Arabidopsis thaliana: one gene and its partners. The protein of the gene in region 2 purifies or fractionates together with the protein of the main gene of each other region. This does not show direct contact. Each region holds a gene or a part of one and is shown on either strand. Other genes may lie near its edges.

Region 1 (8,355 bases), on a different chromosome or scaffold from region 2:
TGCTGGACCCCGTTACTATTTTTTGTTAATTTTTCTGGTCAATAACGAAATAAATAAGTTAGGGGGTCCCATTTCGTTTTATCTTGTTGTCTGTCTACATAAGTATTTTTATTTTATCTTTCTTTCCTTCAAAATTTACCTTAAACGTCTAAATCTCTATCACGATCCGAATTCATAATTCCTACATTTATGTGTTTTATCTATCTAGACATGTGCATGCTTTTTTTACTTGATATAGGATTTTTTTATCTTCGTTTATCCAAACAAACAAATAAATGGTCACTGCTTTTGCTTTTTAACAAGTTTTTATTTTCTGTCTATGTAAAAGCCATCATGATTCGTTTAGGTGAATCAGAAGAAAATAACTCTGGGTAAAATTCCAAAATGTATACTATCAAATGGATATAGATAGACGACAAGTTTTAAACGCGTTAGCGAACTCTTCTTGTGGCTTTGGTATTTTAGTTTATTAGGTATAAAATGGAAATCATCCACACTTCGGAGCAATTGTTACAAAAATGCGATTATCTTTCTACCGACTAATGTTGGGTAGACATAATTAGTTTACAAAATGTTCTTTTTCCATTTGTCACCAAAGTTTTCTTCATTATTTTATGAAACAAGACTTGGGCAGTTGGACATATATACTATATTAGTAGTTAAATTGCATATGTTTGATCTGTTGATTTGTATATTCAGTTCTTAAACTAAATAACAAGTACTAACTATATTTCAGTATTTGTATATAATCATTTAGTATCGAAACGGTCTCGTGGTCGTGGCACCTTTAATTGCTGAGAGGGCCGTCTTTTACTTTTCGTTCTAGCTTTATGATGTGCCACCGAGTAGTTAAGAGAATGCTTCTGCTCCAAGTATTTTGACATAATTTAATCAAAAGTATTAGCTACTTTACACGGACAATAATCTAATTTTATAATTAGAGTAAGATAGAAATTAAAGAAGATATTGGTAGTCGTTGCAAATGACACGTGTTGATCATGCTTTGCTCGCATTTGTATAGCTTCGACTTGAAGGATTTCAGTCCACCGTACGTTTACCACGATCGAGTCACCCACTACGGTCATAACTAATACTATAATTTGATAAGTGTAATAAGAAGACAAATGATAAAAAAAAAAGAAGAAGACAAATTTGCTAAGATGACAGTTTGTAATCCATATCTTATCACATCTACAAGAGAGATATATACAACTCTTTTTCTTAAGAGATGATTAATGCGTTAAACAAGTTTAACCAGTTATCAAAAATATGTAAATCTTTTCTCCAGAGGTTTAAAGACAACGTCACGGTAATTGTTTCGTCGAAAAATGACTATTTTAAACTGTACGGTTCATGGTCACTTTTTGTGTATTTACATAAAGAAAAAATATTAAATTTTATACTCAGAATTAGGTATGGGCACGAAGCGGATATCCGGAAAAATTATGATATTTGTTATTCGATTCGTTTTAAACGAATACTTGATTTTGTGATTCGCTTTACTTCGAAAATTTCCAGATATCCGGAATTTCGAATATCCGGAATTTTTTGTGATATTTGCGGATATCCGCTTTGATACATTTAAATATTAAAAAAATATGTATACTATATAACTATATCATATATTCAAAAAATTTATCCGTGCGTTCCTTAATTGGTGTCTCCGTGTGCTTTTAAAATAAGTTCTAAATACCAAACATAACCGTTGTTGGTATCACCGGTCAACAAAATATTATCAAACTAATTCCAAAACTAAAACCCGATAGTTTTTTGATGCCATTGATCAAAACATAACATAAAAAAAAATGATCAAACAAACATCTTAACATAAAAACATAAAATGACAACAATACACAAACTATTTATGATATCTATATATAGATATACTATATTTTCTAATATATATAAAAAGATACGGATCGAAGCGGATATTCGATTTTTTAAAAAACAATATTTATTATTTGATTCGATTTTTACGAATACTATATTTTTCTATTTGCTTTGCTCCAAAATCTTACGAATATTCGGATTTTTCGAATCAAATTAAATCAAATACCGAATCGAAACGGATCAAATCAAATCAAATCAGAATATTGAGCTAGCTGAATGAATGAGATAACCTAAGAATCCAAAAGTTGATAGTGTTCCCTTTCCGAATTCCAATAGTAGCTTGATAACATTTATTTAACGGCGATAAATTCAACCGTTAGTTTGATTACCAATCAAATAATTGCTTGCAATAGACGGATGAAACGAGTGGTAAGAATAGGTGATTGAAACAAACGGTTAAAAGCTTAAACAAAATAGGTGAGTTTGCAACCTCTCTTGTTCACCATTGGAATATTTTAGTTATTTAACGTTTCTTAGATTTTTAAAACTGTAATGTATTTGAATTATTTACTAAAGAGTTTTGTTTTTCTTTGTTTTTTAAATATTTTTAGTTATTTATTAAATATTTTAATTTAGTTTTTTTTTTTTACTGTTTAACCGTTTGTTACTAATCATAACTATTATTTAACGGTTCATTTTAAATTATTTATCATTTTTTCTTTTAATATATTTTCTAACCGTTTTTTTTTATCAGTCTTTTTTGTAAGTGTTAAATAAAATAACCGCCTTATTTAAACGATATTACCAATTGGTTTAATTTTAGGTTGTTCATCTTTTCTAACCGTTTTTTTCTACCCGCCTTTTTCTGTAACTGCTAAAAAACATAACCGTCTCATTTAAACGATGTTTACCCATTGCAAACCATTTTCCTTAAACAAGCGGACAATATTTAAATTGCAATGAAAGCGAGTTATGAGTTCTTTTGGCCTAAACTTCCCAATTTTATCTCTCTTTTTCCCACTAATCTTCTAACAATTTTAATTAACAGTGACAACTTACAAGTACTTAGGTAACCAAGTATATTTCCCTATTGTAAAACCTAATTATGAGTTGTGATGATCACCTTTTCTCCTTTTGACGAACGCTTAGGACCTAACTTATTGCAACAATGGCCTAACTAAAACTTAAATGCGATTTGCATTCAATTCTCAAATGGGCCTCTTTAGTTAACATGTTATCTCCGTTCATCTGACGTGTCATAGCTCAGATCAAAGGTTAATCTACTCGTAAATCCAACGACCAAAGAAACGAAGCGTACGTTACTAACATACACGTGCACGCACTGTAACCATCTCTCTCTCTGCTCTTCTCCTTCAATGAAATGATTCGTCACCCAAAGAAAGATCTGCAACTTCACCACCGGACCAGTCTCTCTCTATCTCTTCTGTCTCTCTACCTCGCGCGACGAATCAATCATGACTGAAGAACAAGACCTCATCGACCAATCACCACCACCTTCAGCACCCGACCCTGAACCAAACTCGAGCACGAATCCGAATTCAGTAATCCATCCAAGGCGTGTGTCTTTCGAGCACGGACTCCTCCCGATCCAGAAACTCGTTTTCACCGACCCGATCCAAACCTTAGCCCCTGTCAAGCAGAAGCTAGCCGATGCGGCTTCGAATAACCGCGTTGGATCGGCTGCAATCGCCGACGTTCTCCAGATCTCCGGCGACCATGCGCGTCTCGTTCTCGAGACTCTCGGTTCGGTGCTTCATTCCGAGTCTGACCCTCTGGTTCGGGCGAAACCTGAGGAAGTTGATTCCGTCGGAGCTGATTTGCGGGATCTTATTTTGTTCCTGTACATTCAATCGTATAAGAAGTTGCTTCCTAGGACGCATAAGGACTCCGCAGCGGTGGCTGATGTTTGGCCATCGACTTCAGCTTTTGATGGATACTTGTCTGCGTTATCGCCAATTCAGGCAAGTTTCTTACTTTTTTTGGCCCTCTTATTATAATGTGCCTCAATCCCAGCGCCTGCGATTTGTTTGGTATTGAAATGGAACTGTTGTACTCGAGTATGGAATTGGAACGTGGTAGAGAATAACTTATTTCCATTTCGCATTGTATTTAACTAAAATTTGCAATGCAAGTTTAAGTTTTCTGAGTCATTTGATTTACCTGAAACTTAGAGTTAAGCAATGTCGGAAATTTGGGTGATTAATTGAATTGATGGTGGCTATAGTTTCGTAACAATTCTCAATGAGGAAGATGCTTACTTGTATTTAATTGCCAGTCCCCTTTCTCTGATGACTCTGGGGCAATGGTAATTGGTTAGTTTACTAACTAAAGTCAAACAGTCGCCAGCTTGCTTTGTTTTGTGGTTCGGAATCTGATTCTTTTTCCGTTGTACCTTATTTTGTTTGGTCCTTTCACGTGGTTTATTTGGTGATAATGCTTGGTGTGTTCTTGAATTTTGACTCGGGTCTCCAGTCCTGTAATATTCTGTTTCCTGTGTGGTATGGATGTTCTATTGAGTCTTTTAGAAAACAGTCATATAATCTTAAGCTTTTCAGTGTTTTCTACAGTCACTGTTCTTTGGTATTCTATCGTTTCTCATCACATGGGTCGAACCAACTTTATTGGAGCTAAAATTGTTATTTATATCTCCTTTTCATCATTTCTGCAGCTTGTTCGCAGCAACAGCCGTCGATTTATGCCATCACAGGCAGATGATGAAGCTCATCAGTTGTCATATCTGCAAAAACATTTAGCAAACATCATTTCTCTCCTTGCAGAGCCTGTGGAGGGAGAAGGAGATGAATCATTGGTAAGTTCTAATCTTTCTTATATTCTCAGGGGGTGTCACTGTTCTAAGCTACAAGAATATAAAATTCTGATGTTGGAATAAGAATTTTTTAGGAAATGAAAGAGAACACAAGTTAATTTTTTTTTTCTTGTCCAATATCGTTCAGGTTTTCTCTATGGAGGCGTTCGAGCATCTGCGTTTTCTTGTTCAGTTTGGTGATAAGGGATCTGATGTATCTCCATTGAGCCAAGCTACTCCTTTTTTTGCAAATTCTGATCCGGATATGCCCGCTGTTCCAGTCCCCGCTTCCCAAGTGCATGACTGGCTTCTGCAAAACATAGCTTCCGCTTTAGAAAGCATTACTGAGAGAATTTCTGGAAAAGAGAACGGACCTTCTAACGATCAAGATGATGCGATGTCAGATGTTTGTGCTGCTCCGAACAAGGTTGCACCTAGTACTAGAGGCCCGTGTTTAATCGAGGGAGTCTCCAAGACTTCACTTGTTAAGCAAGCCTCCGATCTAAGGGGTAGATCTGTGAAGGTCTGACTGTTCCTTGTTCCGTTTTTCTTCCAGTCATGGAATCTCTGTGCAAGCATGTCAACTCCTTGTTTTGTGTATTTTTCAGGTTGTCAATTGCCATGATTCTGTAATTTATCTTTTAGCACCATTGCGATATGCAACTGTGCACGGATGTTCTGATACTACTATAGTTTTGGGAGCTGTTGGCAAGGTATGGAAACAATGCTTCTTCCTTCTTTATCTTTTCTGAAGATAGTCAAAGCAACATTTAACAAGTTATAATATCTGCCAACTTTTATTAAAAGATGTATCAAACATAATTCCGTATTTATTTCTGCAGGCAATAAAAGTTGAGCACTGTGAAAGAGTTCATGTGATTGTAGCTGCCAAACGAGTGTGCATTGCCAATTGTCGTGAATGTGTATTCTTCTTGGGAGTCAATCAGCGGCCACTTATTGTTGGTGATAACCACAAACTGCAGGTGAAGCTTCTCTTTAAGATTGTGGTTTAATTTACAAGTTTTATGTCATGTTGCTCTTATTTACCTTTCTGATATTAAGGTAAAAAAAATTGAGTGGCTAGACTTTTTACTAGATTTAGTTTGGTTAGTTTGGTTAATAAGCCGTTTCGGACACGTCATCAAGTCTAGTGGAAACAAACTTGGAGGGGTGGCTAGACTGCTGCTAGATACGTTTAGTCAAATGTTTTCCTCAAGAAGGTTTTACTGGTTTTTAAGAGTGCGGGCATTGTCAGATATTGCTTCTAGTGATTATGGGCTTCTATTTTTAAAGTGCTGGCATCAATTTGACTTTGTTTCAGGTCGCTCCATATAATACATTTTACTCTCATTTGGAAGAGCACATGAGGGAGGTAGGGCTTGAGCCAACGATCAACAAATGGGACAAACCATTGGCCCTGGGAGCTGTGGATCCACATGACTCCCTGTCACATCCTGCCGGTGTTGCTGATGCACAGGCTGAATCAGCTGCTTCTGTAGACCCTGACCAGTTCGTAAACTTTTTGGTACATTTTCTATTTGGGTCTAACATTTACGTCAATAATTGGTGAATGCTTTTCAGTGTCATGAAGCATCTAATGACGTGTTTTTCGGTGGTATCAATGACAATGGCACAGATCCCAAACTGGTTTAGCGGCGCGGAGCTTGGTTCGACGAAAGACAATCCATTTCCATTGCCAGATGCTTATATGGCAGCTCAGCAGAGAAACGTATGTTTTAAAGTTATACTTAACCAGATAAACAAATGCATTTGTTATTTTTGTCCATATCTGATCTTGTATCTGCAATTTTTTTTGTCATCAGCTTAAGAACTTTGAAGAAACAAGACGATCGTTAAAAGAGGCGCCTCTAGAAGAAAACCGGAAACGAGAGCTATCAAGTGCACTCCATGTTTATTTCAAAGACTGGCTTTACGGTAAGAAAACTTTCTCTGAATCGATCCCTACTTTACTTTATTGATATGCATCATTCATTAGGTTTTGACTTAGTCTATGTTTTTGTTGCGACAGCATCTGGAAATATAAGGCAACTCTACTGCCTACAAGGTGACTAATAAGAATAATAGACCAAGCGGAAAGTGTCTTGTTCATGTAGAGCTCCTTCGATCATATTTGGCATATTGCTAGTGAAGAAACCCCACCCCAAGACCAAAAGAAAAAAGAAAAAAGAGAAATCAGCCTGATTCAGTGATTTGTAGTTTGGAACCAATACTTCACAACGTAACTTATCTGCACAGAAATACTCTCTTAAAGCTTTCGTTTAGATTATTGTTTTCTTGATTTCTGCTTTTCTTTCCTTGACATTTCAATCCATCGTTTTTGTTCCCTTCTCTATTGAAAATCTCATCTTCAAATAGAGCATGATGACTTGAATTGTTATAAGTTATAACTTGTAAGCAAAACTGTTTTGATAGATAGTCTTGTCTTGGTCAAATAGATTTAAGTGGACGCAAGAGTTAGGCTACTACCATGGTAGGTGCAAATTTCTGAAGAAGTTTTAGAGCTCCAAAATTTCTCATATTTGCAGAATCTCATATTCGTAGAAACATCCAAACAATGCAACATAACATGAACATCTCAAGATACAAAAACAGAAGGACATGGGATGGAACAGAGATATCCATGAGCGCAGGATCCAGCTAATAATGAGTTCTTGCTACTTTAGTCATTGTAATGTGTGCTCCATTGAAGAAATCTCTCTTAGCTCTAAAGTTCTGCACCAACTGTTCAACACCAATGAACACCTCCAATGGCAGCAAAAGTCAGCCCGTGGCTTCCCATCATCTTCAACGTTCTGATGAGTCCTGGAAGAGCAACGTTTCTTTCAATACGAGGGACGTCTTTCCAGTTGCAAAACCAGTCACAGCATCTTTGAATGTCTTCATCATCGCTCCATTTTCCTCTTCCAAGTATCTCATTTCTGTAGGATCCATGATAATTTCTTCAACCGATAAAGCTTAGTCCTTTTTATGTCAAACGTGATCTAACAAAGAAAATTGGCAGCAACGACATAGTGGAGAACACAGCCAAATACTATTATTATTGGGCCTAATTAAAGCCCATTAATGATTCTCTTTTTTTTTTTGTTGTTCTCCCTTCCTCTCAGCGCGAACGCAAGCTCCGTCGGCAATGGCAGAATCGACGAGAAATCTGACTGGGCTTGGAGGAGAAGCAGCGAAAGAAGAAGATGATGAGTACATGGGAGACCTTTCTCAGTTTATTCCTCAGGAACTTAGCCAGACCTCCAAAAGAAAGGTATCTTCAGGCCAAAATTTTCATCTTCTTATGTCCACAATTGTCAAGCTCCTGAATCCAAATTTGTCCAACTGATTTTGAATAATCTCCAACAAATTTCGTTTAGTTTGATAGCTGAATGAGATTTTGGGATTATATTTAAATTCGTATATAAATGCTTTTGCAGGAATCTGAGAAGAAAACTGTAATCGTAGAACCATCACGGAAGAAGTTAAAAAATCTCAATTGGCACGAGAGACGAAGATTGGAGAAAGAGAGGAAACAGATAGAAGAAGATGAGCAGACATTGGCTCGTATAGTAGACACTCCAATAGGAGAGTCTAACATAGGGTTTAAGCTATTGAAGCAAATGGGTTACAAGCCAGGTTCTGCTCTTGGTAAACAAGGCTCTGGTAGAGCTGAGCCAGTGACTATGGATATTCGA
Region 2 (7,826 bases):
GCGTGGAGTTCAAGAGAAAACATATCATCCTTCTCATGGTAAAGGCATACATCACTGCTCTGCTCTGTCCCTAATTTATGTAACCAAACCTGTTACAAAGAATATATGAAGATCAGAACATGAAAGCCAAAAATATTGACGTATCTCATAATAAGTACAGTCAAATTTGGTAAGAAAATATGGCATCTATGAGGTGTATAATGTCAACAATTGATCGAAACGGTAAAATCTATATTCATGCAAAAGTTAATCCCTTCCTCCAGTACTATACACTAAGACAGTAGGGTGGGAAAAGATTGAAGGTAAACCTTATCAGGTCGCAGGATTTCGTCCATTGTTATGTAGAGCAAAGCATCATTACCAGCCCATTCAAGATAAGAAGTAAGTCCTTTAAGCTGTTGCCCCACTGGTTTTAGGGCTTCAGAGTCGATGACATTCACTGTATATATCTCATCACCTTTTGTGTCCTCTGCATATGCCACCAATTTATGATCGGGACTCGCCTATAAAAAGAATCAAGAAAATGAAACATCAAGTTAGTAAAGAGCAAGTTTGAAAAGGATATCTCTTAGGACGATTTTTAAAGTCTATTTTCTAGTCAAACCTTGAAGGCCCCAATTCTGTAGTAGTCATGCTCTTGAGCCTTGGTATTCTCATCCAATATCACATGCTCAGGAGGAGCATCTGGACCAGTTGGCATAGTATCATAGACAGAAGGCTCAGCTTTGTTGTCAGTGATCAAACGTCTACAGTGCTGAATATATTCCTTTCCTTGAAGATTTTTCTCATAATAATAGTAAGGACCCTTGCGTAGAGGTGCAGATATATCATCTTCTTTGATCCTCCCTCTTATTTCAGCAAACAGCTGATTCTCAAATTGCTTGGTCCCTGAATTTTTATTTTCCAGTCTAATTTATCACAAGCTTGCATAATCAACAAGTCACTAATACTCCAAATTGAAAACAAGGAAAGCTAAAAACCCTAATCCCCTAAGTATCACAACGTCACTGACAGAGGCAACTTGAAAAGACTCACCAGACATGACGAAATCAGTGTAGTGATTTTCTTCACGAAGATAAGAAAGCATGTCGGGATTGGTGCGAGAATCGTCACGGAGCCAGTAGTAATTGTCAACCCTAACGTCACCGAACATCTCCATCACATGCTCCACCTTCTTCGCTACAGGAGGGGATCTCGATTCCGCCATGTCTCTCGGTGATGTCAACCGCACTGACGCAGCTCCGGTTTCAGAGGAAGAGGAAAAAGAAGAAGACAGCCGTAGAATAGAGCGGCGGCGAGGAACAAGAGGAACGAGGCAAGAGAGAGGAGTATCGAAGTGGAGAAGACGACTACGAGTCGCGAGAAAGTGAGTGCCGAGAGATACGAGTCCACGCCTTATTATCATATTACGTGTCCGTTTTAGTTGCCTAGAGACTCGCGACCAGTTTGTTAATAGAGGACAGGTCATATCCGGTTTGGATAAACCGGCCTATCTATGATTCCGGTTACAAAATTATTAACTCTTTCGTGAATTTTTGCTAGGATTATTGAACAAAACCAAATAATTAGATTAGAAACAAATTACTGTTGAATGTTGATTAATGGTCTTCTATGTTCTTGTAGTGGACTATTTTTGAGCTTGATGAATTTTATAAGCCTGAGATTAACCCAGAACCTAATCAAACCGTGCTAAACTGCAAATAAGCTGAGATGATAAAAATTGGTCTTGCTTACAGAACAAAGATGAAACAAAACAAGAAAGAAAGCACGTATAATAATAACATCCAGAAGAGGTTCAGGTTAAAGTGCATCAAAACCACTAAAATTACCAAAGTGACATTCACTTTCACAAGAAAATGTTTCCAAAATGGAAAAAGGAAAAAAAAAACAATGGAAGTGTAAACAACATCAGAAGATATACCTTGAAAGAACATAAGCCAATGGCAATCATGATAATGGCTAACTTGATAAGAGCAATACGAGACTAATAATGATGTAGGATCATCATCATGAATCACAGGAAATAAGGAACACCTGTCCTTGGCCCTCTCATTTGATTGTTCTCTTCTGTCTCCGTGAAGAACTTCACTTCCCTTTCCTGGTAATTAAGCATATTTTAACAAATCATTACTGTCAGTGAGGACCAGATCCTAAACACTTCCCAGAAACAGGTCTATATATGAAAAGTAACACACAGAGCACAATCAATATGGACAGACTGATTCCACGCGAACTGTGAATTGTTACTAAATAAATGGCTTAAACATCATAACTCTATCTCACAAGAGTCACTCATGTGTATATGTTTGGGTCGAGAGACAAGTATCAAAGGCAGTAACTTATTTAATCAAAAAGGAAAAGTAGAATCCGAAGACGAGTGCATAAAAGTAAGAAGAACATGAAACAAGATATTGTGGCAGATCAGTAACAAAAGAGAAAACAAATGCCTCACCATGTTGTCATTGAAACTCAATATAGAAGCCACATTCCCACAACGGTAGCAGTAATTAGGCGCAGACCACACCTTTACAAAAAAAATAAAGAGAAGAAACATCACCAAGCAGATTATACTTCCAACTATCCAAAATGATCATAAGGAAGCAAGGCACTTACAGTTACAAGACCTTTATCTTGGAACATGTACTTGAGACCTTCTTGTACAAGCTGGTGAGCGCGACATACTAGATCAAGATTGTTAATATGGTTAAACTGCACAAGAAGCAAAACCACAGATCAGGGAACTGAAATACATTTATTTCTTTTCACACCTTATTCAAATTTCAACCCCAGAAAAAAATATAAATACCTCAGTGGTAACCCTGGACCCGAAAAGCCAACCAGCTCCACGTGGACTGACAGCCCATGTTTCAATATCTTCAGGATCACTCCACATAAGATCACAGAAGGGTCCTTCATGCGGTATTTCGCAATTCCGCTCAATCAATCTTATCTAGAGAACAAAATAACATCTAAATGAGTAAATGAGATTTAATCTAATCATAAATAACACTTGCATGGTGAAAACCAAAAGTAATTTAAAATAGCACATTTTAACCTGGTCAATTGTCCGTACATCAGGTGAAAGGCCACCATGAACACATAGAACCTACATTGAGGATGCAATACGTTTTAATATGGTATACAGCTAACTTATGCATTCATAAAATTATACAAGAACACATCATAACACAATGCCAAAGAAGCTGAGAAATACTTACAGTGCCATCTATAATAGCTGAAAGTGTAAGATAGTCAAAAACATCCGTGCAATATCTCCAAGCATTAGCATTACCATACTTCCTTTGGCATTCGTCATAGAAACCATACACCTAGCAAATATAAAATTGGTACGACAATTTAAGAAAACTATAAAAATGAACCTGCAGGGCACAAAATATCACTACAATCTTCGTCCTTGACAGTGGATGTTAAAAGATATAGGATATGGTGTAGGATAGAGATAAATCAAGAGCTTCCGAGAAGAAAACTTATGGTTGCAAAGGGTTCACATAAAATGCATCTTAGTTAACATCTATGCCTATATCTAGCATGGCATTGCCACATGTACAAAATAAACTTTCAAAACTAGTTATAACAATTGAGCGAAAATTACTTCTCAACCAGTAACTGCGTGAAGAGCACAGCAAGTCAGCAACAATAGATATAAATGGATTAGAATAATGCATACCTGAGTTAGCTGTCTACTTTCATGATTTCCACGCAAAAGAGTGATATTGGCTGGATGTCTACATATTGAAATACAAGGAAACGAGTGATTTTAAGCTCACAGCAAAGTAAGTTAGAATATAAATTTCCTGGAATACAAGTTAAATCGATTTTCCAGTAGAGCAATGCGTTTACAGCTTAAAGAGCATTCTCAAGAGAACTATGATATACAGTGTGAAACGGAAGGATGACGATCCATGACATATATAACGCACAATTTCTACGGAAAATCTTACCTTGCTTTAAGAAGCAAAAGAATGGTGAAAACTTCAAGACTGTTGTAACCTCTATCAACGAAATCCCCCTGAGAAAATCCCCCACAGATAATTAAACTATGTGTTACATATTGATATGTCATACGAGCCTACGCCCAAAGTCAGAGTCTATACCATAAATATGTAATTGGTCTCGGGAACATGACCTCCGGTCTGGAAAAGTTTCATAAGATCATGAAACTGGCCATGGATATCACCACAGACGGTGACAGGACTGTTGACAGGTTGTACATTTGATTCCTCAATAAGAATTTCTTTCACCTATATAATAGTCAAAATATCTTGTGAATTACCAGAGTATCTTAGCAAATCATTGTCATGAAAAAAGAAGAAGACGGCTGCTACTACAAGTTTCAACACTAAAATTACTATAATAAATCCTCAAATAACAGTTTGCAAGCGTGGACTTGGTGCATCCATAAATTGGCTAAAGAAGAGCTAAACTTATCCCTAATTCCTTAGAATTTAGAATTGAAATAGCAAAGTCAATAAATCCTCTATTGGAAAAATGAGAGAAAAACCCTAAAATCCGTAGACCAAAATGGCAAAGGAAACAGTAAGGGAGAGAGACCAGATTCAAAGTAAAGTGCCACAAAGCAAGCTCTAAAGTCTCAAAAGAGTAAGCGAAGAATTGGGTTTTTGTAGATGCATGAATATTCGGGGAAGAGAAAGCAAGCAAGAGAAGAAAGAAGAAAGAAGAAGAAGGCGTACGTATTCGCAGAGAAGTTGAAGCTCGTCCTCAGAGAGATGTTGGCCGTCTTTAACCTTGGAAATCCATTGATCTAAATCCATGGCGGCCTTTTATTATCCTCTCTGTCTCTCTCTTTCGGTGGTGAAGTGGAAATTGGTGCTGTTTCTTCGATTTCAATGGTGAGTCTCGACGATCTCTGGTGAAGAATTGAAAGAAAGATAGATCTAGCAGAGCATTGCTCCGTCCGCTTAGGGTTACGTAAGGGGGAAAGAGGGAGAGAGAGAGAAAGGGGAAACACAACGAACCAAACAATCTCGACCCGAACCCGATTTGGTCTTCCTCCATCCCCAAACTCTATTCGTTGGATATTTATTTTTAATCATTTTTTTGGCAACATATTAAACATCAATTTAATTTTTATCTATTACTTCATTACACAAATCTTTAATGGAGTATACTACACATTTTCAATGTTTTTGCAATTCTTTTCTTGGTAATTTTATTTGTCTACTTGAATGTGACAATTGATAACACCTAAATAAAATTCCACAAATACTTAAACCTTCTTTATAGTATTTTTTCTTCTTTTTAATTTTTTTAAAAAAACACATTTCGATATATGTGTTGTTGAATTTGAGTAAGACCTTTTTGATAATTAAAAACTCCTAAAAAAAATTATTTAAAAGTCTTGTTAAACAAATTGTGTCTAAAGACACATTTCGAAATCTATGTGATGTTGAACTTTTGAGGAAGGTTGTTTGTGGGAGACCGTACGGGATATGTTAGAAATGAATCAATGATCTTGGATAGGCATTAGCAATACGATCGTTCAAGAGCGAACCTCACTCGATTCATTTCAATGTTTATGTTTGGGTCTTCCCATTTGGCTTCTGGTTAGGGATAATTTGAGAAGGAAAAGTATTGTTATGATGACCTCTAAAAATGACAAAATGGAATTTGTCTCACCAAAAAATCTCCAATGTTCAAATTACATCCGAAAAAATCACTAGTCGGAGGGCCAAATATTACGGAAAGTATATATTGGTGTTGGTTTGGTTTATACTTGGTCGAGAGGTGATCCGAAACTTAGTTCCACTTAAAAAAGTGATGCATCGCAAAGGTAATTCGAAATTTAAATTGTGAAGAGTTTACTCAGCTGCAAGAATAGAAATGATTTTTCTCAGACATGTTCATTTCGGGTTTGGGCTGGATTGAGTTTTTTTTTAACCCACGACAACATTCCAAGAAAGATCACTTGTTGAAGAGGGATTCCACCAACTGACCATCTGATACAAGTGCATGATTTATCATATGTAATTTTATCCATCAAATTATCTAAATTTTTGTAGAGTCTAAGTCGAGATATCACTGAAATCGGCCAAAAAAACTAGTAGTTAAATAGTTTTTAAAATACACATTGTCCAAACACGATAAAGATTTTTTAAACTCAAAACAATCTTGTATAAAATCTATACAATTTTTTTTTCCCTTTCTAACTCCATATGTTTACAAACAAACAAACTTGTAAGGAAATTTATATTATTATCATAGTTTACCACCTTGTAGTTATTTCTCGCTATGTCCATTTTAATTAGCTTGATAAAAAACTTAACTATTTAAGAAATATAAATATTGATTTGTTTTTGCAACGACTATTTATATTCAAATACAGCAATGGTTCACTGGACTTTGGAATCCTTGACAAATAGATATACTGTATAATATAAAAATTATTTACTGAATTTGCCAATAGATTTGGGTGGCAAATGAAAAACATGACTCTTTCAGTCCCAAGGAGCCTTCTCACTTCTAGCAGCAAAGCCAAAAACCGTAGTTACATCAAACGTGTAGAAAAGGAGACGTGCGTCTCAAGAAAAGGAAGTAACCATTAATACCTAGTACTCCTCAACCTCCCCCACCAATTCATCTTCACCTTCTCCGCTGAACCACCTGTTTCTTCACTCCCAAGTTTGCTAAGTATCAGTTTCGTTTCCCTTAGTCTCCCTCCATAATCTTTCTTCCATGTCTCAAACATCTGTTTCAGCCTTCGTAGCTCCCGGTCCGGATTCAAGTTTGCTTCCACCTGACCAGATTTCACTTCCATCAAGAACTTTCTGTCGTCACCAAATACCTGAGCTCTTTGTCCAAATTCCTCAGCTAACCGGCTTATCACGCTTAAACCCACGCCTACACTTCTTGACCTGCCATGGCCCATTTGGTAATGACTACCTCCTGAATCTAAATCTGTTGCATCGCTTGCATTCACCGATGCATCCGAGTTTCTCGCTGAGTCCTCAACCTCTAGGCTTTTCTTTGCGATGGAAAGACTGGATTGCAAAGATTTCATCTGCTTTTGCCAAATTTCTTCCATGGATTTCATCTTTGTTTCATATTCAGACCACCGGTTATCGTACTGCTGGACTCTTTGTCGGAGGATGTCGTTCTCCTCTTCTTTCTCACGAAGAGCAGCTTCGGTTCTAAGAACCCTACGCTGAAGATCGGAAAGATATGATGCCTTCACTAGCACCTCGTCTGACTCATTTCTCTACATAAAGAATTGGTTTAAGAGTCTAGCAATATGCATATATATCATGTAGTCAAATGCACGAAGAGAATGAAAGCTTTGAGAGGACCTTGGTGCCACCAGAACTAAGCCATCCAATATCCCCCGCACATCTTCTAACCAGCTCTCCACGAATTGCTACAGAAAAAGGTTTCAGCATTTCTTGAAACTTCTATTTTTTAAAAATATATTTTGAGGTTTAATTTGTTTCAATCATGAGAATTAATCAACCCTATTTTACCTGATTGTATTACAGCAGATGCATCAACTGTGGCTTTATACTGTTGGCTAGCAATCCTTCTCTTAACATGGCTTTGTATAGCAGCAGAAGCTCGATGCCTCTGCAGTAACTCCGTGTATTCCTTTCTCATCTTTTCTCCACGAACAACTGAAACAGAAGGATGTGTGAGGTATGGTTTCTAACGACATAACAAATACAAACCAAGATATTGAAATGAGACAAGGGGCAATACATGATTGAAGAATAGTAATTCCGGTTTTAAGCTCTTTTAGACGACAGCGAGCTTGGTGCCCTCTAAAATAACTTTGAAGACGTAAAATGCCATGCAGA
Region 3 (8,240 bases), on a different chromosome or scaffold from region 2:
CTGCTTGTCTCTTCTTTCTGCTCTTGATACCACACGCATTGCACAATGACTGCAAACAAAGTCAATCCATGATCAGACCAGAGAACAAATAGTGAACAATCATCAAACAGATCTAAAATTAAAGAGACATAACCATCTCTTAGTAAAAAAGGCATCATAAAAACAGTGTAACAATAATCTTAACCTGATCAATTAGTAATAAGGCTTCAAACACAGAATCAAAACAAAACATAGAGATCACATAACAAATTTAAATATCAACCACAGATTGACACAAACCTCGCATACCTAGACTATGTATACACATGATCACATCAATGAGACAAAACCCACTAGCAACAGAGCTAAGCACACAAGATCAACCTACATTTTAAGTGGATTCAAGTACCTATTTGACTAGATCTAACACATGAGACCTTAAAGCTTGGATTTTTAAGGGTTTAAAAGAAAATGGTAGAGAGAGATCATGATCCTTACTTTAGGGCCAGCAGGTCCACCACGCCAAAGAGGAGTCCTGCTTGTTCCGCAATCAACGCATGTCTTCTTCGTATCACCTCCACTTCCACTGCTACTACAGTTCCCGTTGTCTACATCGGACGAATCTCCCGCCGATTCGAGCTTCGTCGTCTTGGTTTCTTCCGTCATTGACATCTACAAAAGAAAAAGACAATTATTAAACGTGATCATCAACTACAAGTAAGAGAAGGATCAAAAACGATCATGGAAACTCACATTGATCCACTTCGAAGCGAGATAGGATTGAGAAGAATAGAAAACTCTGAAACAGAAGAAAGGAGAGTAACGGAAATGGCAGAGAAGGATCAAAGAGCTCTTCTTCTGCTTGAATGGCTCTCTGTGAAGTTTAGAGTGAAGATGATGATGATAAGGAAGAGAGAGAGACGCCGCAGAAGAATAACGGATAAAACAAACGGAGAGGGTTTTTATAATAAAGGAGGAGGCGGGGACTAATAAACCCTAGATTTCTCTTTCTTAATTACTTTTTTACCCTCGAGCGCGGTGTTTTATTACTATAGAACCACCCGCCAAAAAATAAAACAACCACAAACTGAAAAAAGAAGAGGGAAAATCATTTTACAACAACAACTTGTAACAAAGATCTTGTGGAAGGGGGTTTTTTGGTATCTTGCTTGCTTTGGTACCAAATTTGAAATTTTAATTCAAAACCTGGCGCACGAAATACATTGGATTTACTCGTTGTGGTTGTTTGCCACGTTAGATTTCCCTAATTGGGCTTAGAGATATGCATGCATTTTTTACCAGTCTTTTAGATATTTTGTGTAATTCTTCACAATGAAATACGAAAAATTTATGTAATAATATTAGGTATATCGAAGACATGCTCGTGTAGTGCAACTTTTTTTGTATGAAAATTACAAAACATCTCTCTTTTTGGTCAATTTCATCTTATTTAAATTTGTGTAATCGACTTATGAATATTTGAGTTCTTTTGGGTCCAAGGCATACCTACGCTTATAAACGACAGGGATTGAACAAAACATAGGATTTTTTTATTATTGAAACCCTCCCTACTTGAAGTTGACGATAACCATTAATAACATCGATTAATGGAAATATGTTGAAACTAGATACGCGTGCATATGTAGACAATAGCCCAAAATGACTTGGACCGCACTAAAATAGATTATAAAAAAAAACATTTACTATAAACAATAAAGAGACGAACCAATTGGGCTTTTATGTCACCAATAAGACCAAATAAAGTTTGACCAACTTTTTTATGTTTGACTTTGCAGTGTTGTGTAGTACAAATGTAACAAAAACCCAGAGAGACACATTCTCATCAGATCACACTTTAAAAACTTATAAACCCTTTCCCAAAAATAAATATCCCTTGATGACTCCTACCCAACTCCCCCCCAACAAGCTTATTCCATGACTCAAACCCACCAACCACTGGATCTGACCGGACCAGGCCAGACTAAGTAAGGCACCCCATCTGACTTTTACACAGAAGACCAGACTCTCTAATCATACCCTTTTTAACCAGTGCCCCCAAACTCTTTAAGCTCCTTCGACTCTTCAAATCGTCATGTTCAGCTCCTGTGGAAGCAAAACCAGACTCACAGATTCACACAAGGTAGACACACAGGCAGATTTACTCTGTTTGCTAGTCTAGCCTTAGATGCTTAGATAAATTAGTCCCAAGTAGTGAGGTTTTTTTACCTTCACTGGAAGTTGAATCCACCTGGTGGTACGGCTGCATCATTACCTCCTCCAAACTGGAAGCCTTGTGCAGAGGGATCACCAGGTGGTAAAGTTTCATCTTCCTCTTCCAACCAGTACGTTTCAAGAATCTTCACTGCCTTCTCATAGATTTCGCTGTTGTCATGACTCTGCAGATTCTCAATCTTTTCTAATCCCTCAGCATCATCGATCAGCTGTGCATAAAAGTTTACATCCCCGGTATTTCCTGTGACCTTTTCAGCTTCCCCAACTTTCAAAATGTTCTCCAATCCTTCCAGACACACAGTGATAATCCTTGGATCAGGGCACACCAAAAGATCACACAGTGGTTTCACGACTCCCTGTTCCACCATGTACCTAAAACACACAACGGAATAACTTAATTGACTGTTTGAAAAATAACCAACAAAGATTCTAAAGGAGTTGAGATCAACAGAACATGGAGTTTATATCGGATAATCTTACTTGATTTGGTCAGGAGAACCACCTGAAGTGGCATTTGATATTGCCCACGCAGCTTCTTTCTTTATATCAAACTCCGCATTTTGAAGCAGATTGACAAGAGGGCAAATCAAACCAGCTTCACACACAGCCTGCAATACCACAACAATATTAGAGAACATAAACACACAGAACATCTTTCTTCAAACAACAAAAAGGCTTCTGAAACATGTCTTCCAACATTAGTGATTAGTTTATGAGAAACTGATAAGCTGAGCAGAAACAACAATCTTTAGCAAAAGTTCACCTGAATCTGGTCCCTGTTTCCAGCAGTGATATTTGAGATTGTCCAGCAAGCTTCCTTTTTGATGCTCTTCTTATGATTGTGAGTCAGAAGGCTCAAAAGGCTAAGAAGTGCACCATGACTAATTACACACTGTAGAACCAACCAAAAAAGAAAGCAAAATAAGTGAGGAATGGTACATGTGTGAGATTCTTAAGAGTATTATACATACTGCCTTAAATTAGTCTAACTATTCAAAAGGAATGTTAGGTATTGCATAACTAGGGTAAAAAACATGCAGGGGGGGAAATAAAATCTGGGAAGAATTGACAGTTCCCATTCTAGAGATTCATCTAGGAAGAATTTGACAAGTAACTTTTGACAACTAAATGTCATTATCAACAAACTCAGATTCAGCTTTCTAGCCAGTGTATTTCATTCTTCCCATCAGTATTGGACCATGTATCCTGAATAATATGAATGAATGACACTATAAAAGAACAAACATACCTGTGTCTGCAGATCATCTCCAGTGACAATGTTACCAATACTACGAAGGGCAGGAATAAGCACAGATGGTGATTGATGCCTACAGCAAAATAAAATTGATAATATTCATTAACACATAACATTCATTATACAAAAGCACGGTGAAATCATGGGATTTGAAACTCACTGGAGAAGCTCGACGAGTCGAGGAACAACACCTGCCTCAATGACAGATTGGATTTTGTCATTTGTGCCATCGGAAAGGTAAGAGAGAGCCCAACATGCATCCGTTAACACTTCCTCATCAGTCGAATGAATCAGGCGTTCAAGGGCTGGGAGTGCTGGACGGACCTGTTATTAAGAGATCACAAGAATTAAAAAGAAAAACTCCTTCATCTTTGGGCAGAGATTAAGATAGGAATGAGAGACAAACCTGGTCAAAGGGAGGCTGTGGCTTGCCCCTGCAGAAATTAGAGAGGGTCCAAGTAGCATTTCTCAGCATCGAGAGTTTAGCATGCTCATTCAACTGAGAGAGTAATGGTATCAAAGCTCCTTGACCAAGGACAAGATCTCTGCACCGTGGAGAATCACCAGCAACATTCCCTAATGCCCACACAGCCTTACACATGAAAAGATTAAGAAACAAACAAGCTTTAGAACATGCTTGTTCCCGAAAACAAACAAAATTGACAGTATATTGAGTCATGAGAAAAAACCATAAACACATATCTTACCTGCTCACGGACATCATCACTCTGAGAAGCCAATAGTTGAACAAAAATCGGAACAGCACCATGTTCAATGACCACCTTTGTATTCTCTGAAGTCCCAGAAGCAATGTTTGTCAATGCCCAAGCAGCCTCAAACTGAAATCACACACACACACACAAGTAATTAGTATCAGAAGACAATTCTAGCAAAATATGACAGATACATAACGATCCACCAAACCTGAAGCTGTGGATAATCCTCTCTAGTGAGAAATTCCACAAACCGAGGCACAACACCAGCATCAATCACTTCTTCAATCGGAGGACTACGCTCAATAGAAAGCAATTTCCGGAACTGAGTAGTCGCTTCAAGCTGTAAACTTCTATCATCTGACCAAACACCACCAACCATAGCAGGCAAACTCTCCAACTAGCCAAAACCAAAACCAAAATCAAAATCGAATCGATCTAAACCAATCAAATCCTAGGAAACGGTTCCAGATCGCTAGTAATATTACCTTCTTCTCAACAGTTGATGAAGCAGGAACAGGAGAAGGAGCGAATTGAGGTAGCTGATTAGCTTGAAGGCCTTCACGACGCTTCTTCTGTAAGCTTTCTTCACGCTTACTCTTACGGATCTCGACCATGTTGTCCTCTCTCCTCCGTCTTCCTTCCTCAGCATCCACCGCCACTTTGTAGCGGTTCCGGCGAACCTCAGTCTTAGCGTTAGGTCTCAAAGACATGGTGGCTAATACGAATCTCCTCTTGCTTCGTGGCGGTGAATGAAAAATGAGCCAACGAGAGTGGAGACGATGTATGTATATATATGAAAAGTGTATGTATAGAATCGGCGGATTGGTAGAGGATGATAAACCCTAAATGAAGTAGAGGGGAACGAGAAAAGAGGAAAAAAGGCACAGAGAGAAAGATTGAATTTCGTTGGTTTACAAAAACATTTTGGTAAATCTAAATTTTAAGATTCGATACAGAGACCATTAATTTACTTAAGTTGACTTGTTTATTCATTAGTCTTTTCGCACCGACTAAATTTAATTTAAAATAAAATACAGTTTTTTTTTTGGCAAAACTTGGTTTTGTGAAAGTAATTTTAAAAGTATATTATATTCGTTTAAGAAAGTTTAGAGTAGAGAACTTCGCATTTGAGTTTGACGTTGAGGAAGACGTATGAGCAATGCTCATATATTGGGGTAGATTCGTCTGTTGGAGCCATAACGATTGCAAGTACCTCTGGTAGCATTATCTAGGAGGTGAAAATCTGTTATTCTCTCTCCGTTCTTATCTGATGAAAGCTAATAACAGATTTTCACCTCAACTTTCATGGTATCAGGTCTTTCCCACAGACTATAATGAATTTTAATTTAAATGAAAAAATCGTCAGAAAAAAATACTTATGTTTTTTTAATCAAACATCTGGCTTTGTGAAATGGTGCATACGAATTTAAAAGTGTACTCGTTATAAATAAACACAATCATCATTACTTAAGACGGCTCAGCCAAGTTTGGAACTTTAAAGAGAAGGTTTTTTTAAGAAGTATACACATATATGTACGGCTGAGACATCTGATCTCTGAGGTCTTTTTAATGTCTCTTTAAAGTTAAGACTCCAGGAAAAATAATAACATGGTGATGGAGGTTGGCTTTTAGCGGAGATCGAGGACTTCATATTTGAGTTTGGCATTGAGGAAGACGTGTGAGCAATGCTCGTAGATTGGGTTACCGTCTTCTGATTCTTCGTGTGGGTGGAAGCCTCGTTGCTGGCAGTTTCGGATCACAGATACGCCTGATGGATCAGAGAGATGGAATATTCCATGAGGTGTTGATTCGTCTGTTGGTGCCATTACGATTGCCACCGCCTCCGGTAGCATTATCTGGGACAATAGATATAGATGATGGTTTTACTATAATCGCATCATAAGTGATTAACATAGAGATATTGATAAGGGGAGTTTGTTACCTGATACGAGTAGTGTGTGTGTAGATCAACTGATGACATGAAGCAAGTTTGTGTAGGGTGTGTCTGAAACCAAAATGTAAATTAGCAAGACGAATCGATAAAGCTTATCAACTAGTGGATATATGGATTCACAATTGTTCTGAGTAACGTTTTGGTAAGTCATTATCTGGAAATGGAAGATTTTTTAGTTCGGGTGAGAGAACTTACATGAATCCAACCCAAGGGAAATAGAGAGAGTCTGTCCTGTACTCGAATATTTCTTCTCGTTTAGTGTTTGGCACTGTACATTACCCAAATGATGATGAACCTAAGTGTGAGAAGCATACCAGCGAGAATTAAAAAGATTGTTATTGATGTAAATGGTTAAGAAAAATGAAGAACATACAGAATCTGAGGTAGACTCCTGCTTTGGGATTATGAGAGTAGTGATATGAAAAACCCTGTTTTTCTGTAAACATGGCAAATAGACAGAATATAAGTAATGGCGAGCTGATCATGATATTGGAATCAAAAATTATAAATGCAAAGGTTCCATCTACTCACCAGAGAACCAGCAAGTACTCCACAAGTTTCTAAATTCCGTTCTGTGTTTGACCGAGCTAGCCTTAGGAAATCATCCATTATGCGCACAGGCTTCAGCAAATTTAAATAAAGGGTGACAACATTAGTAGTAGATTAAGAAGAGGTGAAAGAGAAAGATTTCCAGAACCGATTCTAGCAAGCTTTTAAGAAGCTGTAATGGTCATGAATCCAATACTTCGATGATTTAATGTGTTGATTCTTGAACACATACCAAATAATTAGACTAATCATGGATAATTTTCTACTTGATATGCATATCCCTTCCACTTTACTCTCACAAACACTATGGAATTGGTGGAAACTGCACAAAAGTGAAAGAAGATACAGCTGGAACATACCACATGCAAATGCTGATAAGAATTGCTGCCCTCTTTTCCTTCTAGGGAAGGAATTGCAGGTCCTGGTCTAGGATCAGCTACTTTAGATGGGCAAATTTGGGCTAACTCTTGATGCACTTGAGCAAGCACGGGAGGAGGGGAAGGTTGCTTCATACCGACAAACTGAAACGGGTCTTCAGTTGCGTCGCTAATAAACTGGGAATTTACTGCCTCAGAATGACGCTGCCATCGACCATCATCTAAGGAGAGCACAGAGTTCAGTGTTGAGACTTCTTGAGAATCACCATTAAGTGATGCTGAGGAACTGCTAGGTCCAGCTTCAATTAAACTGCAGAAATACATGGAGTCAGTTTGAAATAGCCATGACTTCTTTAAGGAAAAGCTTAGAAGGTAACAGAAGATGAGTACTTACCCTGAATTGTCCGCAGAACCCCAATCTGTATTACTCGGATATTGAACCTATCATTCCATACAAAATAAAGATTTTTCTCAGTTCCTTCAGATCTAAGATAATTAAACATTGAATTGGACCAAGAGTAAAAGAAAGAGTGAGAAAATGTGAGAAAGGTAACAATGATCAGCACTATACCTTTATCTCTGACTTGGGTGCAACCATTTGCCTTTTAAGACCATTCGGACCTAGAAATGAATGTCTTGACAAGGTTGCTTGGTTTGGAGGCAGGAAATCAAAAGATCTGCAGGTTCAGGAGCACAATTAAAGTCTCAATGATCATCCCAGATTAATATGGAGTAGCACTTGAGTCTCATAGACTCATTTCTTGTTTCAATATCCCAAAACCAAAGAAGAATTCCACAAAACGCAACCAATAAACATGATACCATAAATAGAAAATCCAAGCAGCATTGGCAGTTTAGTCCATCAGAATGGTAGTTTTTCTGGTAATAACTAATAAGTGACCCAAACATCGTATATATATGGTGATCACAGAAACAGGTAGATGTAAAGCAAGAAAACCAGTGACACATATCGGATGGCATACCCCTATTTCTCAGGGTTCCTAAAGCTCAGAGAGCTTATAGTGTTTGAATTCCTATTAAGCAGAATTACCGACAATTATATTAAGGGAGAATACTCACAGCTTCTGGAACTGCTGATCAATCTGTGTACGATTTGATGATGAAGTCAGATTATTGTTATACGTCCAGGATGGTTGAGATGTCGGTAAGGGCTGCAT
Region 4 (7,444 bases), on a different chromosome or scaffold from region 2:
ATTCCTGGACAGATATAAGAGCACAAAACTTAAAGAAATGTTAAAAGATGAAATCTTTCAGATCGAAACAGAGGAAGTTTTATTTACCATCTGATAGAATCCTGTTGATCTTGATAGCTGAATCAAGCTGTATCAAAGGATCTTTTGAATAAAGGCCATTGGCTAAACTCATAGCTGCTGAAACTTTGTGTGAGATCGTTTAGAGGAAGCTTGGGTCTTAAGCAACGTGGGTTTTCTCTCTTCTTTGACCTATCCAGAGAAATTTGCAAAACTTGAAGAGAAATCTGAGCTGAAATGTGAAAGAGGCAAAGAAATTTTGCAATTCAGTGCAAGAATGCAAACAAGAATGGAGCGAAAATAACAGATGAATTTACTACGACAATATCGTTATCAGAACCGGCTTGTTTGGTTTGATTTAATTTCGACTGAAACCGGTTCAGTTCAACCAAATTGATTCAGTTTGGTTTTGGGTTTAAATCCGGTTTAATAAAACCCAAATTTCAACATGTTAGGCGTGTTGGTTAGGATCATCGGATCATTGCCAATCTCGAATTACCCCCCAAATCGGAGTGAAATTAGGGTTTATATGTCTAATCACCTTAGCACCACCATGACGAAGACCACGATCAGCACAATTCTTCTTGTGGTTTCTCTGTTCGATCATAACTTGAGCTCTTGCTTTCATGGTTTCTGAATTGACCAAGAAGATCTGAAACAAACACAGAAGCAGATCATCATCATTTCCAACAGTTCATCTTCGATCACCCGAATCAGAATCAGATCATTTTATCTTCTCACTGTGGTCTAGCATTCTCTATTTTCAATCCAGATGAATTGTTTAGGGTTTTTGATCGAAGCTTAAGAAAAAATAGCAGAGACGAGAATGAAGAAGAGTTAACAACGAGCGAAGAAATAATAAAGCATCTCTGCACCTTCTTACTTGAGCTTGTTATCGAATTCATCTAAATTCTCAAAGTGGCGACCAAATTCGATGATTCAATTTCTCCATGGAAACGAAACACAAAGTGGTTTCGGAATATATGGGCCTTTTACGTTATACCAAAGCCCATAGCATAAGAGCCCATCCATTTCGAAAGAAAAAAAAAAAAACAAATCCGTCCCGCGTCAAAAAAACTGAATCCATCTTTAAAGTTTGACCGTTAGTTCGGTAAACAAATAATTTAACCCTTTCTTAATTTTGACCGTTAGTTCGGTAAATTTGAGTAAAATTTTTTCCTAAAAGACAAAACAATGTGGATTCCAACAGGAAGTGGAACTTGGTTCTCTAACAGGAAGTGGAACTTGATTCCAATATGATGAGTAGCTGTTAGAGAACCAAGTTCCACTTCCTGTTGGAATCCACATTGTTTTGTCTTTTAGGACCATCATATTATGTGCATGCTTTTGGTTCAATATGACAGCTATTTCTTTACATCAAAATCTAATATCAGATTATGTGGGATCTTAACGAGAAAAATCAAACTGGAATTCCGGATGAGAACAACCATCACCACCTTCATCTTCCTCTTCAACTAACCTTCCATCTTCCTCTACAAGCCCGTATGTTTGCAGAATCTTCACAGCCTTCTCGTAGATCTCATTGTTGCCATGGTGCTGCAAGTTCTCAATCTTTTCTAGCCCTTCTGCATCTTCAATCATTTGAGAGTAACAGTTCACGTCTCTTAGGTTCTTGTCCACCTCTCCAGCAATCAAAATCATTTCCAGTCCACCTAGAGACACTAAGATGATTCTTAGATCTGGACAAACCAGGATGTCACATAAAGCTTTTATGCAATTCTGCTCCACCAAGTATCTGATACACACCAATGGATATTGTGAATATAGATGATCAATAAGCATGAAAAAAGTGATAAAGAAAGAAGACAGGGATGTACTTGATTTGATTAGGAGAACCACCCACGGAAGCATTTGAAATTGCCCATATAGCTTCTTTCTTTATGTCAAATTCAGCATGTTGTGCCAGATTGACCAACGATGGAATCAAATTTGCATCAATAACCGACTGTTATCATCATCAATGCAAGAAAGACAAATAGAAAATATTTAGTGATAGCAACGTAAATTGTTCAAGTTCTGCAACAGTAACAATCACAAACTCATGCTCACCTGAATTTGTTCTTCTAAACCGGCAGTGATGTTTGAAATCGTCCAGCAAGCTTCCCTCCTTATGCCTCTCATATGGTTTTGAGTAAGCAGGTCAGCAAGAACGGGTAAAACACCACAATTGATCACACACTGAAAAATAAGTTCAAAGAGTTATTTGGTTACAAAATCTAATCTCAACACAGTACTCAAGCAACATATAAATGAAGTGTTCTCCAGGATATAATCATCCAAGATACAGGATTACAAATTAAGCTTTTGATAGTGCTATTGCTTTGAAAAACAATAAATTCACACGGTGTACAAGAGACGTGTTCTTGAAGGCTCCATCAAAGGAATATGAATTACATACGTGAGTCTGCTGACTATTTCCAGAAACTATATTCCCAATGCAACGAAGTGCAGGAACAAGTACAACTGGAGAAGCGTGTCTGCAAAAGAAAAAAATGGCGAGCCTTCATTATCCAAACATGTATCAAACGGTTAAATTTTTTAATATTTGGAGAGAAGTACTAACTGGAGAAGTTCAACTAGTCTTGGGACAACACCCGCCTCGATCACACTTTGGATATTTTCATTTGAAGCATCAGACAGATTCGAAAGCGCCCAGCAAGCATCTATCAAGACTTGTTCATCATCCGAATAAACAAGTCTTTTAAGTACAGGGAGAACATGTTTCACCTATAAATCATGTTTCATAAGTTTAAGTATTGCACCTATAAAACTGAGGAAATAGAGAAGTAAGAATACCAGGTCAAAGGGTGGTGAAGGCTTGCCACGGAAGAAGTTTGATAAAGTCCAAGTCGCATTTCTAAGTATCGACAATGTAGCATGGTTATTCAGCTGATGCAACAGTGGAATAAATGCCCCAGAGTTAAGAACAAAGTCACGGCACTGTATTGAATCACCAGCAACATTACCCAGTCCCCATATAGCCTGCAAATTAAGTGTAACATCAAACTCTTCAAAATTTGAACTCACATATTTAACCATTCATACTCAGAAGAAGCACTATACCTGCTCACGGACATCATCATCAGGGGAAGCAAGAAGCTGAACAAAGAGTGGCACAACACCGTGATCAATCACTACCTTGGTATGCTCAGATGCGCCAGAAGCAATGTTTGTTAAAGCCCAAGCAGCCTCAAACTATAAAAAAGATCAAAGAATTCAGAACCAAAGATTACACTAATCATCAAAGATGGGAACTTTAAGTCTAACCTGAAGCTTAGGGTTATCATCCTTCTTAAGAAACTCTACAAAACGTGGCACAACTCCAGATTTTATCACATTATCAGTAGGTGGACTTCTATCTGAACAATATATAAAACCACAAGACTTTAAGAAACCATTCAAGTAAATATAAGTTCGTATCTTTTTCAACTCAAGATCAAAGAAAAGTAAAGAGTTTTACCGAATGATAGAACCACCCTGAACCGAGTTGTGTACTCAAGCTGCAATGAAGGATCATCCGAGAAAACCCCAGTGATCATATTCGCTATCTCCAACTACAACCATCACCAGAGAGGATCTAATTTAATTACCCAATTCGAAAGCATTCGAGTATAATGATAAAGGTCGTATCTTTCAAAACCTAGGTTTCACTAATCCAAAACCAAAGATCAAACTTTTACCAAACTCTCAAAGGGGTCGTTGGAAATCAACTTGTAATCAGGAGGCAAAACTTTTACACGACGTTTCTTCATCAAATTTTCGTTGCGTTTACTCTTGCGAATCTCGACTAAAAAGTCTTCTCTTCTTCTGCGTCCTTCTTCCGCATCTACAGAGACTTTGTAACGGATTCGACGGATCTCTGTCTTCGTGCTCGGTCGCAAGGACATAGCTTTCTCGATTCTTCGACCTCTCTAAATCAATTCACAAAATCGAAGCGAAACCCTAGAAATTTGAACTGAATGGGATTTGCAAAGTGAAGAAGAGAATGCAAGAGTGGTGAAGATGAAGAAGAAGCGACAACAGTTTCAATTTGAAGAAGCGGGAGGGTTTTCTAATTATCGTTTTTAATTGTTAACCGTATTTATACAGTAGATTGAATCATAAATCATTGATAATCTAAATTTAAGATAAAGTTTACAATCATATTATTAAGAGCTCCAAATTGAAATAATTAGTCAATAATTATTATAAGCTAAAATACTTGAATCTAAACCGAACTAAACCGTGAAGTTGGTTTAGTTACTCGTTACCGACGATAAAAAGAACCATATTTGCAGAGTTTACTCGTTAGATGTGTAGTGTTTTCTCCGGCGAAGGAAAACCTACTTTTCCGGTAAAGTTCATGTATTGATTGGAAAAAGTAGGTTTTGGTTTGTGATTTTGAATTGCTTATGTAAGAAGTAAAAACATTGTTTTTTCTCATATGATTATGTTAACTACTATACATTGTACACTATACTATATGTGCAAGTTGCTTTAAAGAAACAAGATATTCCAAAGACGTCGATTCATCTCTAACAGTAGCAAGACCTTCTCGAGCAACCGTAGCCATCCGATTTGTAGGCGATCTTGGAGGAGATGCATAAAGAACTGATGCCTCGATGATCTCTCTATGTGTGTTTTCAAGATCCTTAGAGATTCGATGTGCTTGAAGAGCGGTTAGGTAAAGTCCCGTGGCTAGAAAGACGGTTATAAGTGAGAACACTCCGGCCGCTGAAAACAAGCCTTGCCGGATTACTAGACAACTAGGTTTTGGTTTAGACCAGTTCTTTAGATGTCCTGATTCCACACTAAGTGCAACCAACAGTAGAACCTCTCCAACACCAAAGCAAACCCTTATAGGAACAAAAAAGAATAATATAATCACAAAATTATCATTAACTTAAGCTATGGTCAGTAACATAAATATGTCATTTCACGATTGCTTATAGTTAGGATTTTTTTATTTTTATTTTATTTTTTATAACTACATGACATTAATTCGTTGCGTTAGAATAAGTCTACGTACCATGTTGAGACGAAGAAGAAGGCAGCTTGAAAAGTGAGCCTCTTCGCAGGAACAGAGTCAGGATCCCACTCAACCAGAACCAGAGACGGCGATGTGGTGACTGCGATAAGTAAGTACATGTGGAAGCCCACCATCGCCACCGCTAGTCCCACAAACGCAATCGCACCACACAACAACGGCGTTTTCCCGCTACCATTATACACGCATGTTTTGCTTCCCCATGTCGCCTATTGCAAATGATTGACAACATATTAATGGCAATGATATAACTTATACTAAATACTATTATAATCGAACGATATGGTAATTAATATAAAACATGAATCAATATAGATTTCTGATTTATTTTGAAAATATAAATGATGAAAACATATGAGAGAAAGTTTATATACATCCCTGTATAGTAATGTACCTGAGATCTTGTGGCTTCGGCATAGAGGCAGAGAACAAAGCAGGAGAGGCCAAAGATTATTGTCAAAACAGCGATGAAAATACCGGTTTTGCTGCTGAGATCTGTGGTTTTAGGGTTTGGAACAAGATCTTGATGGGTCACAGCTCGCACTCTTGTTCTCGACATGTCTCTCGTCAATTTCTAATAGATAGGAATCGAAGTTACATGTTTTGAGAGTTATTATACTTTGATTTGTTTTACATATATGAGAGGCATTGAAAGTGGGAAGAAAAGAATAAACTGGAGTATATTTGATAAATAAATGAAAAAGGAGAGGAGGATAGAAGAATTGCTTCAGCCAAAGGTTGCTTAAAGGCCAAGATTCGCAGGTTCTCTTTCGGATGTCTTTTTAGAAATACTATACTGTTTTCGTATAGTGTCTATTAAACGATGATGTGTAAAATATATAATGTGACGAGAGTTCGTTAATGGAGTTAGTTGGATGATTCTTTTCATATATTACACGTGTATAAGAACATTCTTTTCTTCTTTTTATTTTGTGTTCATACAAAGAACATCGTACCTTTTATTATCTTGAAAGTAAATAAAGATAAAGATAAAAAGATAAGGTGATGAACTTTGTTCGTGAGTCGTGAGTGACTGAGTGTTGTCTTATTTCTATATACTATTTATTAGCATAATCATGTGAGGGCGTGTAATTTTTAATAGGAAGCCAAAAGCCTTCCACACCCCACCATAAATAACCAATAGAGAAGCGGTTTCTGATACTCCATTTCAAAAGCAAAGACATATAGTGACAGAAAAAACGAGCTCGTGTCACTGATATCTTTAGCTTCGAATTGGATCAACACTACTTGTCAAGTTGTCATCACCTTAATGTTAGTGTCTCGCCGATGTTGTGTTTGCCGTTGTGATAGTATATATTTTTATTGTTGCCGACACTGGTCGCATCGGTTTTGAAAAGAACATGGTTGTGTATTAAGTACTCATCACTCATGTGGTATTTTCATGACAAAGTTTGTGATGTCGTCACTCGTCGTAAGAATTTTGAATTTAATGTACCTAAATTGTGCTATATGAGTTATGAAAGTTGAGGTTACCATCGCCAAAGCTCGAAATTATGATGTGAAAATATTGGGTTTAAAATTTTACTTATACTCAAAGTCCATGGTATAAGCACCTTAAGGCATATATAGATTAGGATCTTTGACAAAAAAAAAAAAAAAAAAAAAAAAAAAGCCATGAACTAGGATCCAAAATTTGTATGGACATTGAAATTTTGATTTTTTAAAACAAAATTGATATATATAAAAAAAAATTAAATAGAGTAAAAACTGTTGATCTCCCCCAATAGATTTGCATTAGTTAGTTTTTTTTATTTTGAACTTTTAACTCCTACCAGATTATTAAAGTAGTATTTTATTTAGATAATTTTTTATAGTTATGATATATGTTTTTTGGTTGTTTATGATTTATTTATGATATATGAGTTTCAATAACTTTTTTTTTAATCAAAGTTTCAATAACATTAAAAAGAGGGGAAACGTTATAACATGAATAGAGCCTTCAATAACGTTGGATCGTCCATGGTGCTATTGAAGTTCTTTGGTCCGAATATCTATATATATTTTTTTTCTTAGAGACAATTCTCGAGGATGACAGAAAAAAAAAAGAAAAAAGAAAAAAAAAAAAAATCTCTCGGATCCATCACGCAAGTATCAAAGTGAATCTATAAAATAGGTTTATCTTTATATATTTCATTCTGTCTATTTTTGTTCCTATTTATTCATATTTATATTTTTAATGATATTTTTTTTTCTTCTTTAACTCGTTAAATCTAATATATAAAGCCTCTAAAAAAAATAGTTTCTTCAAAAAAAAAAGGGAAAGCAAAAAGAATTGAAAAATATGATCAAAAAGTTCTAGAATTTTTTTGCATTATTAAT

Evidence for each region.
Region 1: the proteins of FYPP1 (region 2) and AT3G57890 fractionate together in Arabidopsis thaliana (co-fractionation; one large-scale study listed by BioGRID). This does not show direct contact.
Region 3: the proteins of FYPP1 (region 2) and IMPA-2 fractionate together in Arabidopsis thaliana (co-fractionation; one large-scale study listed by BioGRID). This does not show direct contact.
Region 4: the proteins of FYPP1 (region 2) and IMPA-5 fractionate together in Arabidopsis thaliana (co-fractionation; one large-scale study listed by BioGRID). This does not show direct contact.

The regions. Positions count from the first base shown.
Region 1 is NC_003074.8:21,434,966-21,443,320, forward strand, and holds AT3G57890 (Tubulin binding cofactor C domain-containing protein), read left to right. Parts: upstream 1-3,118; 5' UTR 3,119-3,305; coding exon 3,306-3,812; intron 3,813-4,323; coding exon 4,324-4,431; intron 4,432-4,519; coding exon 4,520-4,660; intron 4,661-4,805; coding exon 4,806-5,180; intron 5,181-5,265; coding exon 5,266-5,370; intron 5,371-5,499; coding exon 5,500-5,640; intron 5,641-5,978; coding exon 5,979-6,182; intron 6,183-6,293; coding exon 6,294-6,386; intron 6,387-6,480; coding exon 6,481-6,592; intron 6,593-6,686; coding exon 6,687-6,730; 3' UTR 6,731-6,923; downstream 6,924-8,355. Other genes in the region: AT3G57900 (import inner membrane translocase subunit Tim17/Tim22/Tim23 family protein), read right to left, coding at 7,316-7,420, 7,508-7,609; AT3G57910 (D111/G-patch domain-containing protein), read left to right, coding at 7,806-7,931, 8,098-8,355.
Region 2 is NC_003070.9:18,655,861-18,663,686, reverse strand, and holds FYPP1 (Calcineurin-like metallo-phosphoesterase superfamily protein), read right to left. Parts: upstream 5,180-7,826; 5' UTR 4,794-5,179; coding exon 4,713-4,793; intron 4,263-4,712; coding exon 4,116-4,262; intron 4,031-4,115; coding exon 3,963-4,030; intron 3,747-3,962; coding exon 3,689-3,746; intron 3,330-3,688; coding exon 3,219-3,329; intron 3,107-3,218; coding exon 3,056-3,106; intron 2,951-3,055; coding exon 2,807-2,950; intron 2,710-2,806; coding exon 2,614-2,709; intron 2,525-2,613; coding exon 2,453-2,524; intron 2,099-2,452; coding exon 2,015-2,098; 3' UTR 1,635-2,014; downstream 1-1,634. Other genes in the region: AT1G50380 (Prolyl oligopeptidase family protein), read right to left, coding at 1-89, 309-503, 605-888, 1,036-1,405; VIIIA (P-loop containing nucleoside triphosphate hydrolases superfamily protein), read right to left, coding at 6,581-7,237, 7,326-7,393, 7,497-7,643, 7,729-7,826. UniProt on the Arabidopsis thaliana protein: Catalytic subunit of protein phosphatase 6 (PP6). Dephosphorylates phosphorylated phytochromes, with a preference toward Pfr forms.
Region 3 is NC_003075.7:9,132,243-9,140,482, forward strand, and holds IMPA-2 (importin alpha), read right to left. Parts: upstream 5,174-8,240; 5' UTR 4,893-5,173; coding exon 4,668-4,892; intron 4,580-4,667; coding exon 4,391-4,579; intron 4,306-4,390; coding exon 4,174-4,305; intron 4,059-4,173; coding exon 3,873-4,058; intron 3,791-3,872; coding exon 3,627-3,790; intron 3,540-3,626; coding exon 3,461-3,539; intron 3,104-3,460; coding exon 2,975-3,103; intron 2,820-2,974; coding exon 2,692-2,819; intron 2,584-2,691; coding exon 2,208-2,583; 3' UTR 2,206-2,207; exon of another isoform or gene 2,083-2,205; 3' UTR 1,508-2,082; downstream 1-1,507. Other genes in the region: AT4G16141 (GATA type zinc finger transcription factor family protein), read right to left, coding at 1-49, 478-651.
Region 4 is NC_003076.8:19,990,552-19,997,995, forward strand, and holds IMPA-5 (importin alpha), read right to left. Parts: upstream 4,122-7,444; 5' UTR 3,966-4,121; coding exon 3,759-3,965; intron 3,633-3,758; coding exon 3,539-3,632; intron 3,438-3,538; coding exon 3,346-3,437; intron 3,274-3,345; coding exon 3,142-3,273; intron 3,061-3,141; coding exon 2,875-3,060; intron 2,806-2,874; coding exon 2,642-2,805; intron 2,556-2,641; coding exon 2,477-2,555; intron 2,257-2,476; coding exon 2,128-2,256; intron 2,024-2,127; coding exon 1,896-2,023; intron 1,814-1,895; coding exon 1,465-1,813; 3' UTR 1,395-1,464; downstream 1-1,394. Other genes in the region: AT5G49305 (importin subunit alpha), read right to left, coding at 1-4, 88-172; AT5G49320 (transmembrane protein, putative (DUF1218)), read right to left, coding at 4,532-4,913, 5,087-5,313, 5,499-5,663. UniProt on the Arabidopsis thaliana protein: Binds to conventional NLS motifs and mediates nuclear protein import across the nuclear envelope.